3 linked regions of the Rhinolophus ferrumequinum genome follow. The protein of the gene in region 3 binds, or shares a complex with, the protein of the main gene of each other region. Links are inferred from orthologs where the notes say so. Each region holds a gene or a part of one and is shown on either strand. Other genes may lie near its edges. The genes, in order: TMEM186, ECSIT and cytochrome c oxidase assembly factor 1 homolog.

Region 1 (3,749 bases), on a different chromosome or scaffold from region 3:
TGACACTTCGGGGCAGCGACTATCGACCCAGGCTACACATGAAAATCACCTGGGGGACCTATTTGTAAATAGCTCTCCAGGTGATTCGGCACATGGAGCCAGGGCTTGAGAACTTATTCTTTAGGCAAAAATTGGCCCAGGAACACAAAGTCCACAGAGGCGTCTGACGTGAGAGCCCCTAGACCTCTGGGTAGTGATCATGGTCCCGGCAGGAGTGCTGTGCTCTCTGGGATGACACTGCTGCCCCAGTCATTGTGCAGCTACTGTCCTGGCAGAATGAAAGGACCCAGCGCTAGGCTTCATCTCAAGTCCCGTCTCCTGCTGGGTCCATTGCACCATCACCTCTGAATTAACTAACGCTTAATATTTGCTCCCACCTGTTGAGTTTGCAAAGCACTTGACATTTATTGTTTATTCTCACACCCATCTCACAAGACAGGCAGGAGTTTCCATTTAAAAAATGCAAAACCAAGGTTCAGAGACTGACTTACCTGCCCCAGGACAGGGAGTTGAGAACAGACAGAACAGAACCCAAGTCTTCTGACTCCTAGTCCTATGCTCCCCTGGCCACACCTCTCTTCCCACTTCACTGCACTGTACTGAGTGAAGTTGGCATAGCTTCCTCCAAAACAGCCACTTCTGGCCATTACCTACCAACGTCACCGACGGCGCAGTAAGAATTTGCACCACGGGCCTCTTTCCTAAACCAGGTGACTAGCATCCACCTGGTGAACGTTCTCATCCCAAAGCACAAGTTCCCAGGGGCCCTGGCAAAGTCTCCAACTGCCAGATCTCCTTCTTTAGCCTCACTCACACCCTCAGGCTTCTGTCAGAGATCCAGGCAGCCCAGTGCTACCCGGAAGCCCAGCGTCCAGATGTTCAGTTGCGCGTGTCCAGCACCCCAAACACCTGCGTGAAACGCTCTCTGTCCACGATGCGTCCATAGCGCAGGGTAAGATAGAAGGTTTGCTTCCCACTGTACTGCTGGATCCGCACGAATAGCTCCTGAGGCCGGTCCTGGGTTTCTGCCAGGGGGATGATGTCAGCCACTGGGCAGTAAGTGTCCTGCCGCCAGCCCCAAAAGGTCAGGTGGGCCACCCGCAGCACGGTTCCTGACTCGTTCAGGTACAGGATACCCACCAGCCTCCGGAAGAAATAGCTCATCCAACACAGCATGGTCAGGGCGAAGCCAGCTATCCCACCCACAAGGCACAGGGAGTTGAGAGTCATGAGGCCCTGGGAGTACCAGTAGAAGCCAGGTGGCAGGGCCACCACCGTCAGGGCCGTCTGTGCCACCTTCAGCTGAGACAAGTACCCAAAGGCTCTGATGGCATCCAAACGGTAGACCATGTGGAATTTCTCTGTCTCTGTGCCCAGTGGTCTCTCCTTCGAGGTGGCCGACCTGCTCCCCACGCACCTCCTAGGATCCTGCCCACTGCGGTACCACAGATGGTAGAGTGGCCTTCCCCACACGGTTGGCCCTGGCCACCGCGGCACAGCTCGGAGCAGGACAGCCTGGAAGGGAGACAGGAGACCATTTCTCTCAAAGAACTCAACCGTGCCCGTGACACAACCAACATCGGCAAAGATCTTACATGGAGGCTCCCACCAACCCTGTAAGGTCACCACTATTGCCAAAGCCAGAGGAAAGGTAAACCCAGATGCTTTACCTCACGTGATCTTCACAAAAGCTGTGTGAGACAGGAACCACTACTTCCACTTTACCAGTGAGGAAACTAAGCCCAGAGAAGTAAGAAATTTACCCAAAGACACACAGCTAGTGAGTGGGGCAGAGTCTGACTCTCACACTGGCCCTCTTTCCTCCAGGCAGTTCAAGTAGGTATAGGAAAGGAGGTGCAGCCTTCATTCATTTAACAAATACCTAGGGAGAGCCTACTCTGGGCTGGGCGCTGGAACTATAAGGCTATGTGAACACTTCCCCAAGCAGGAAACTAAACAGTCAATGTCCTGTGGACAACAAATTCGTGAGCTATATAGTATAATAACTTTTTGACTTTCTTGTCAGGTTAAAGAGTCATCTGGGTGTTTTCTTAGCCTTGTTTGGAGAGGGGGAAGGAATGGAAGAGGAGGGAAGGATGGAAGCACAAGGATTTTAGCAGGGGCCCAGTTCTACACCTTGAGTAGTGCAATGAAAGATGCTTTGGGTTGTGGAATCAGATCTAGGTTCCAATCAACAGATCTGGGTTCCAATCCTGACACCTAAAGTCACTAGCTGTGGATGCGTGGACAAGTTACTCCACCTCTCTGGGCCTCAGTTTCTTCATCTTTGAAATGGGGATTCAGAACATACTGAATGAGATAATGGTTTTAAAGGCCTCAAATGCACTTGATGGACTTGATAAACTTGCTACACAGTGAGTTTTAGTTATTGCTATTGTTGACCCACGTGACCTGAGTGCACAGGAAGCCCGGGAATAAGAAATCGTAACCCACCCCGGAGGCCTCTCCCGCGCGCTTTCCCCGAATCACAACCCCAGGCGTCGGCCTGACTCCGACCCCAAAAGCGCGTCAATTCCCTCAGTTCCCACCACCCTCCTTCTTACCATGGTTCTGCTGCCAGCTGTCGTAAGCGAATCCCACCTGCCCCCGGGATCGCTAAGAGCGCATGCTCGGCCGAAGCAGGACTCAGTGGACGCATTGTATTCTGGGATTTGTGGTCCAGTGAGAATAGCTAGTCCCAGGCACTGTGGGAGGGGATTCTCCTCCTCCCAGCGTGCCTTGCCGCACGGAGGCCGAACCCGGAAGTTCCGGGCCGAGGTTCCGGAGCCAGCGAGTCCTAGTAGATGCGGTGTGGAATCTGGGGACATGGCTCTGCCCGGCCCGGCGCTCTGCCTCTTCGACGTGGACGGGACCCTGACGGCTCCGCGGCAGGTAGGCGACGCCCGGCAGGCTGGAGGCAAAGGCTGCGGAGCCTCCTGCTGCTCCCTAATGGGGCTAACGACCCCCCAGGGTGTGCGTGGGGCGGGGGGGGCTAAGGACCGCCTACCTTTTCTGGCGGAGCTGAAGTCTATAGTGGGGGACCTGGAGGGATGAGACGGAAGACCTCAGTATCGTGGTCGCGCGCGGCTGCCGAAAGAGTAGCCGGCGGCAGCCGGTGTCTGTTTATTTAAGGAGAGAAGCACCGACAGAGGAGTTGCGGGGGGCGGGGGGGCAGTCTAGAGTAGACTGCTGCACCGATGAGAAGCTATGTTGGAGTTTTACTTTTTTCTATGCAGGGATGTGGGGTGCTTGTCAGCTTGCAGGGGTTGCCGTTATAATTGGTTTCTTCTGGGAACCGTTCTATTCCCACAGCTAGCTGGGGGTTGGGGGGGATTCAGAGCCAAGCAGTTAGTTTTTAAGCTCGTTCCTGTTAACTCTCAAGCTCCTGTTAACTCTCGTTCCCGTTAACTCTTTACCTGTCGCATCACTCAGGGTACTTGGAGATGGGACAGGGCCGAAAATTTCTTGAGAGCAAGAAACTTGTATTGGGTTGGAAAACGCAGTTCTGGACTGTCACTGCAAGCCCTGGGTTTGAACCCCAGCTCAGCCCGCTTACAGCCATGTGCCCTCCTCAGTCCTGTCACCTATGGGCTGTGCTTTGTAGCCTGTTATGAAAATATCACATAGGTTTTCAGGTGGAAAAGACCTAGTAGGTTCTCAGCTTTACCTCTTAACAGCTGTGTGACCTTGAGCAAGTTACCTAGCCTCGGCATCTAGGACTTTAAATGGGGACATTACCTGTTCCCATG
Region 2 (3,749 bases), on a different chromosome or scaffold from region 3:
CTCTCATCTTGACCTGAAGTCTCCCTTCAGCCTCTGCTCCACATCTCTGCTCCCTTTACAGCAAAGCTTTTCCTGAGAGGTGTCTACATACTGTGTTCTACTCACTCCAACTTGGCTGCTGCACTAAACACTCCACTAACACCATTAAAGGTCCCTGTGTGTTCTAAACTTACCAAAGCCAGTGATTATTTCTCAGGCCTCATTTTGCTTGAGTTCTCAGTAGCATGTGGCATGGGTGAGGCCCTCCTACCATCTTCTTGACAATCTTGATTTTCTTCCTAGCACCCAGGTCTGTTTCTCAGCTAATCAGCAAGATCCACTTCCTTCTCTAAAGTTTACAATGTTTGCAAACTTGAATGTGTGGACGAATCACCCGGGATCTTGTTAAAATGCTAAGTCTGATTCAGCAGCTCTGGTGTGAAGCCAGACTCTTACACATCTAACACACTTCTGAGTGATGCTAATGCTACTGATCTTACTTAAAGACCACACTTTAAGTAAGAAGGCTACAAAGAGTACTACATTCTGAATTTGTCTGTTTACTACTCTGAGGTGTCATTCAACTTGTTCCTCTGTTCTTTGTATTCCTGTGGGCAGTTCATGTTAGAGTCATCTAGGGAACTTTAAAAAATTGCCATGTCCAGGCCATACTCCCGATATATTAAATCAGAATATCTAGAGGCAGGGCCCAGGCACCAGCATTTTAGCACACGCGAGTGACTCTCATATACAGCTAAGATTAAGACCTTAATTGAAACATTCACTACTCAAAGTGTGTTCCAGGAACCAGCTACATTGGCATCATCATCTGGGAGTTTATTAGAAATGCAAAATCTCAGCCCTAACCCAGACCTACTGAATCAGAATCTGCATTTTAACTAGAGTCCAAGTTTCTTCTATGTGTGTTAAAGTCTGAGAAACGATGATCTATGTGCAGATGAATCGAAATGTTTATCGCCAGCTGTGAGCACCGTCCTCCATACCTAATTGCACTTCGGTATATACTCAGCCATCTCAAACTTAATGTGCTCTTAATTTGTATCCCTGCTTACACTTGTTCCTCCCCATCCTAGCCAATGACACCATCATTCCTAGTCATTCTACCACAAACCTAGGATTCACTGATGAGTCCACTGTGTCCCTTATTCCCCTATTCAATCCATATAGTCCTGATGACTACTTCCAAATCCATCCCAAATGCATCCACTTCTCTCCATCTGCAGGCCAACACCCAGGGGCCTCTTTCCCATCCTCCCACTTCTTTCCTTACTTGTCTCCAGTCAGTTCTCCCAACCTGGGCCAAAGGAAGCTTTTTAAAACGTGAACTATGTTCAGCATTCTCTGCCTAAAATTACTAATGATATATCTTACTTAAGATAAAATCAGACAGTGTATACCCTTCCAAACTCAACTCTTACCACTGACAGCTCCAGCTACCTCTATCTTAAACAAGCTAAGTTTATTATAGTCTCAGAGCCTTTGCACTTGCTTTTCCTTCTGTTTGGAAATTTCTTCCCCCGATCGGTCCACAGGTGTCTCTGGTCATTCAGGTTTATATTCAAATTAGAGGCTTCCCTAACCACTGCTGCCCCACTCCCTATCTAAAGCCTCCATCACTCTGATAAATGCATTTTTAGCTCCTAGTAGCATCTGAAATCACCTGTTCTCTTTCTTTCTGACTTGTTCAATGTCTGGCCCCTCCCCCCGCCCCCAGGAGATGACGGATTTTGTCTGTCCTCCTCATTGCTGTGTCTCCAGCACCCGGAACAGTGCCTGGTAAATGATAGGTACCTAACAAGTATCGGTGGAATGCGAAGAAGAGCTAAACTTCTACAAAGCGTCTATAATCCATAAATCTGAATCCCATAGCCAGGTGTACCTACAGCAGCTTTGAGACCGTCTGCCAGGATTCTGGGCTTCTTGGGAGAAACGGGCAAATGGGGGTTTGAATACCAGCCTAGCTGCCGACCTGCGGCGTGACCTCGGGAGAGGTCCTTAACCACGCTGAGCCTCAGCTATCTCATCCGCAAAATGGGCAATTAAGGACAGGAAGAGGCGGGTGCACAGAGGGAGGCCTTTCCCCGCACGTCCCAGCCCCGCACCCTAAAAGGTCATGGTGCCCTGGTTCTGCAGCCGGGTCCCTCTGGGCCCGCCCTTCCGCGCTGCCGGTCCAGAATGGGCCTCCCCGGGGTCCTGCAGTTCGCGCTCGCTTCCCCACGCGCGACCTACCTACTCACACGGGTGGCCGCGGAATCCCAGCCAGCTGCCTCTTGCCGCTGGGCGCCGCCATGTTGCCCGGAGAGCTTCCAGGTCATGGACCACCATGGCCACAGCAAATCAAGAACGCCGGTGTAAAGAAGTCCCGTCCAAAGGGGATGACCACCAATAGGAAGGCAGATCGACCTTGGTACCGCCTAGTAACGAGCTAGGCCCCACCCCTAACAAGGCAAGCCACATCCCTGACCAAGCGAATTGAGGAATATGGCCGGGGAAGGAGTGAGAGGATCGTTTCCGGGTTGGGAGGCTGGACTTGGGGACGGCCGTGAATCCAGTTGGCGGTCCGTTTACCCACGTGAAATGTGGGAATGAAATATTAAGGGTGCAAGTATCCCCAAACGTGTTAAAAATGTAGTGTGTGGGTCCCTGTATTTATACTTCTCCCCTCTGTGCAGCATGTCCATGATCACCGGATAATCCCTTTACCTCCGGGCAGGGCGACAGTAGAGATGGTGTATCTGGCATCCGCCCCGCTGACTACAGGAGCTGGGCAGTCGGACATAGGAGGTACCTGGAGCGTGGATGTGGCTGCAGCGCAATACACCTGCCCATCCCTATGGTTCCCCCCCTCTTCCGTGGTTCAGCCTCCTGACTTTGTCTTGCGCCAAATGAGCTTCTGGGTGCTGTGGGGATAGACTCAGGAGTGCAGTTTCCAGGCTCTCACCTTCATGTGGAAAGGTGCTCACTCTGGTAGTAACTGGCCATCAACTGTGATTGGATGGCTATCAGCTGTGGCTAGTTGGCCATCAGCTGTGGCTAGTTGGCCATCAGCTGTAACCAGTGAGCCATTGGCCACTAATGTAACTGCTGTGGCTACGCTAGCAGAAAATGGGGGCTAGCAAAAGGACGGTGGCTGAGCTAGCAAGAGTGGATTGCAGTTAGCATGGCTGATTGCAGCTAGCAAGTGGGGTTGGTTGGCAGAGAGAAGTGGACGGCAGTTTGAGGATAGTGTGGCTCCTACTTCCTGTGTCTCCGTCCCAGCAGTTGGGGAGAATATAGTGGTATGACTCCCCAATAATGGCTCCGTGGGTGTTCCTTTTTGGCCTCACCATATCCTGCATTCTAATGCGGGGAGTGGGACCAGAGACCCCGCATGACACCCTGCATGACAGCGCTCAGCCAGCGCGTGTTCCACAGCCTCACGTGGGCTCAGAAGCACCTTGGAGTCACGCAAATGCCTCCAGGAAGTGCGGGGCGGGACCTGAGGGCCTGGGTCTAACTCCCTTTTCCTCCTTCACTCCCCGCCCTGACCTCCTGCCCTGGTGCCCGTCCACCCTCCTCTTCCTGTCCATGAGCGCCCTCAGGCGGTACAAACTGCTCTCCAAGGAGAAAATCAAAATCAACCTCACTCCATGAGTCAGCTGGGCCAGGGAGGATGTTCTCCACACCACTCCCACCCCTGCTCTTCGCTCCTGTGGGGGCAGGGAGCTAGTAGCATGGGGAAGTGGGGTGGACACTGCTGAAGCTGTCCA
Region 3 (3,749 bases):
CCATTACTTTATGTTCAGGAACACGATCGGGCTGTCCCCTATCACCTCTGCTTTTCAACATAGTGTGGGAAGTCCTCGCCAGAGCAATCAGGCAAGAGAAAGAAATAAAAGGCATCCGAATTGGGAAGAAAGAAGTTAAACTGTCACTCTTTGCAGATGACATGATGCTATATATATAAAAACCCTAAAGACTCCACCAAAAAACTATTAGAAACAAATGAATACAGTAAAGTTGCTGGCTACAAAATCAACGTACAAAAGTCCATTGCATTTCTATATACTAACAATAAAATCTCAAAAAAAGAAATAAAAAAAAAGCAATTCCTTTTGCAATTGCAGCAAAAAGAATAAAATACCTAGGAATAAACTTAACCAAGGATGTGAAAGATCTATATATTGAACACTATAAGACATATTTAAAAGAAATTGAAGAAGACACAAAGAAATGGAAAAACATCCGCGCTCATGAATTGGAAGAATCAACATAGTTAAAATGGCCATATTACCCAAAGCAATATACAGATTTAATGCAATCCCGGTCAAAATCCCAATCGCATTTTTTAAGAAATAGAACAAAAAATCATCAGATTTGTTTGGAACCACAAAAGACCCCAAATAGCTAAAGCAATCCTAAGAGAAAAAAAAAACAATGCTGGAGGTATCATACTCCCTGACTTTTGCTTGTACTACAGGGCAACAATAATCAAAACAGCATGATATTGGCAGAAGAACAGACACATAGACCAATGGAATAGAACTGAGAACCCAGAAATAAACCCCCACAAATACTGACAGATAATTTTTGACAAAGCAGCAAAAAACATACAATGGAGAAAAGACAGCCTGTTCAATAAATGCTGCTGGCAGAATTGGATAGCCACGTGCAAAAGAATGAGACTGGACTACTATCTGTCACCATGTACCAAAATTAATTCAAAATGGATCAAAGACTTAAGCATAAGAACTGATACAACAAACTGCATAGAAGAAAACATAGGTACTAAACTTATGGACCTTGGGTTCAAAGAGCATTTTATGAATTTGACTCCAAAGGCAAAGGAAGTAAAAACTAAAATAAATGAACGTGTATATCAAACTTAAAAGTTTCTGCACAGCAAAAGAAACCATTGAGAAAATAAAGAGGCAACAAACTGAATGGGAGAAGTTTTTGCAAACAGTGCCTCCGATAAGGGGCAAATGTGCAAAATTATAAAAGGAACTCATGAAACTCAACAACAAAAAAACAAACATCCCAATTGAAAAATGGGCAGAGGACCTGAAGAGACATTTCTCCAAAGAGGACATACAAATGGCAAATAGACATATCAAAAAATGCTCAACATCACTAATCATCAGAGAAATGCAAATAAAAACCACAATGAGATATCACCTCACCCCAGTCAAAATAGCTATCATTAACAAGACAAATAGTAAAAAGTGTTGGAGAGGCTGTGGAGAAAAAGGAACCCTCATACACTGTTGGTGGGAATGCAGACTGGTGCAGCAGCTATGGAAGGCAGTGTGGAGGTTCCTCAAAAAGTTAAGAATAGAATTACCATATGACCCAGCAATCCCTCTCCTGGGTATCTACCCAAAAAATCTGAAAACATTTATCCATAAAGACACGTGTGCTCCAATGTTCATTGCAGCTTTACGTAAGGTGGCCAAGACATGGAAACAACCAAAATATCCTTCGATAGGTGAATGGATAAAGAAGTTGTGGTATATATACACAATGGAATACTATTCGGTGGTAAGAAAAGATGAAATAGGACCATTTGGGACAACATGGATGGATCTTGATATTATAATGCTAAGTGAAATAAGTCAGACAGAAATAGTAGAGAACCACATGATTTCACTGGTATGTCGTATATAAATCGAAAACAAGAAAAGAACAAGACAGACAACTGAAACAACAAAAATTCATAGACATAGACAATAGTTTTGGGGTTACCAGGGGGTAAGGGGTAAGCGGGCAGCAGGGCTCCAGAAGAATGTAAAGGGGTCTAATGTATGGTGATGGAAAGAGAACTGACTCTGGGCAGTGAACACACAATGTGAGATACAAATAATGTGTTACAGAATTGTACACCTGATATCTATGTAACTACTAATAATTGTCACCCCCATAACCTTTAATTTTTTTTAAAAAAGTTTAAGTAGAGTTACTACTTCTATCTGAAGGTGAAGTAGACCAATAGAATACCTTGAAGTAGAGCAATACAGCTCAGGTGAGAATGGGTAAGAGTTAGCAGAAGATATAAGGCGTAGCAAGAATCAAAATTTAAGAACCTTCTTAGATTTTTAAAATGTTTAAATTTTTAAAATAACAAGGCGCGCGCGCTCACACACAGGTACCGTCTGCGCCGCTGAAAATCACTTCTACAGTCATCCCTATAAGGAGCTCAAGTGTGCTCTGGACAAAATTATTATGACCACTGCACCAGAAACTTCTACAATCATCTGGGCAGCGTCGTTCTCCGAGTGACGTAACAGGACAAACAACAAAGTGCCCAATTCCACCTCTTCTAGAGGACCCCCAGAAGAACGGCTTCACAAATGTGCTCTTGGGACCGCTTAGCAGGGACTGCAGGACAAGCCAAGGTTAGCTACACACAACCTCAGAACTCCGGGTTGTAAAAGCATCTAGTAGAATCCCAAGGCGCGGAGCCCACCGCGGCCGCCTAGGCACCGACCACACCGCCGAGGGAGGGTGCGCCACACCCGGTGGCGGCGCGAACGTCCCCGAGGCGACCCTTGAGGGCCTTCCCTGGCAGCAGCACACTCTCACGCAAACGCAGCCACCCGGAACGCTTGAACAAACTTGCTGAGCGTAGGAGATCCCCAGACTCTTCCTCCCAGGGAAATCTAACCCGTCAGCGAGAGCCGTACAGACCACAGCACGCGCGAAGATCCCTGCTGGAAGTGGGGAGTGGGCGGGAAAAGGCCGCGGGCGGGCCCGCCCCGGAAGAGCAGTGGAGACTTCCGGCGTCTCCTCCTCCGGAGGCTAGAGCGTAGGGCGCGGACACGGCTTGCCCAAAGTGGATTCGCCGTGACTGGGAGGCTGATCCCAGGTTGAGATCGCCTTGGCAACCGGGCTTCAACTTCCTAGACGCTGGGACGCGCGCCGGAAGGGATTCCTCTGGTCAAATCTCCGTTGTTTGTTTTCTGGAACCTGGTAGCCCACATCATGGGTTTGGTGCAGCAGGGCCCGCTTAGGACGTTTAAACCACTGGCTTATATTGCCCCTCCCAGGGACCTCGCCGTTGGCAAATCCCGGAGGAAGTGAAATCACGAACCCTCTGATATCCACTATGGCACTGAAGTCCATCTTGTTCCTTTCGGCTGAAAATTTAGCAATACTAAATTTTATTTTATTTACCAAATGTTTACGTATTAACTGCCTATGGTGCTCCAGGGAATGCAGGGGTAAGAAAAAAATTAATGATCTCTGTTCGCTTGGAGTTTAGTAGTAAAATGGGTAATAACAGTATTTACTTAATAGGTTTGAGTATGTAAAGTACTTAGAATAGTGCCTGGCACTGCATAAGTGCCCAGTAAACATTAGCTGTTATTATTTTCATCTTGATCATTCCATGGTCATCATCATCACTATTATCATTTACATTTTTAAAAAGATTTTTATTAAAATATAGCTAACATACAATATTAGTTTCAGATGTACACCAGTTATTCAACATTTATATACCTAACGAAGTGATCACCATAGGTCCAGAATGCTGTGA

The links.
Region 1: cytochrome c oxidase assembly factor 1 homolog (region 3) and TMEM186 share a complex: the UniProt entries of both Homo sapiens proteins name them as parts of the mitochondrial complex. The link is inferred for Rhinolophus ferrumequinum from reciprocal best matches to the Homo sapiens genes COA1 and TMEM186.
Region 2: cytochrome c oxidase assembly factor 1 homolog (region 3) and ECSIT share a complex: the UniProt entries of both Homo sapiens proteins name them as parts of the mitochondrial complex. The link is inferred for Rhinolophus ferrumequinum from reciprocal best matches to the Homo sapiens genes COA1 and ECSIT.

Annotation. Positions count from the first base shown.
Region 1 is NW_022680357.1:9,031,333-9,035,081, forward strand, and holds the start of TMEM186 (transmembrane protein 186), read right to left. Parts: upstream 2,829-3,749; coding exon 2,565-2,828; intron 1,516-2,564; coding exon 880-1,515; 3' UTR 1-879. Other genes in the region: PMM2 (phosphomannomutase 2), read left to right, coding at 2,827-2,892. UniProt on the Homo sapiens protein: As part of the MCIA complex, required for efficient assembly of the mitochondrial complex I.
Region 2 is NC_046301.1:39,075,654-39,079,402, reverse strand, and holds the start of ECSIT (evolutionarily conserved signaling intermediate in Toll pathway, mitochondrial), read right to left. Parts: upstream 2,332-3,749; 5' UTR 2,326-2,331; coding exon 2,238-2,325; exon of another isoform or gene 2,230-2,237; intron 292-2,229; exon of another isoform or gene 174-291; intron 1-173.
Region 3 is NC_046303.1:57,540,001-57,543,749, forward strand, and holds the start of cytochrome c oxidase assembly factor 1 homolog, read right to left. Parts: upstream 2,979-3,749; 5' UTR 2,900-2,978; exon of another isoform or gene 2,877-2,899; intron 2,796-2,876; exon of another isoform or gene 2,621-2,795; intron 1-2,620. UniProt on the Homo sapiens protein: Component of the MITRAC (mitochondrial translation regulation assembly intermediate of cytochrome c oxidase complex) complex, that regulates cytochrome c oxidase assembly.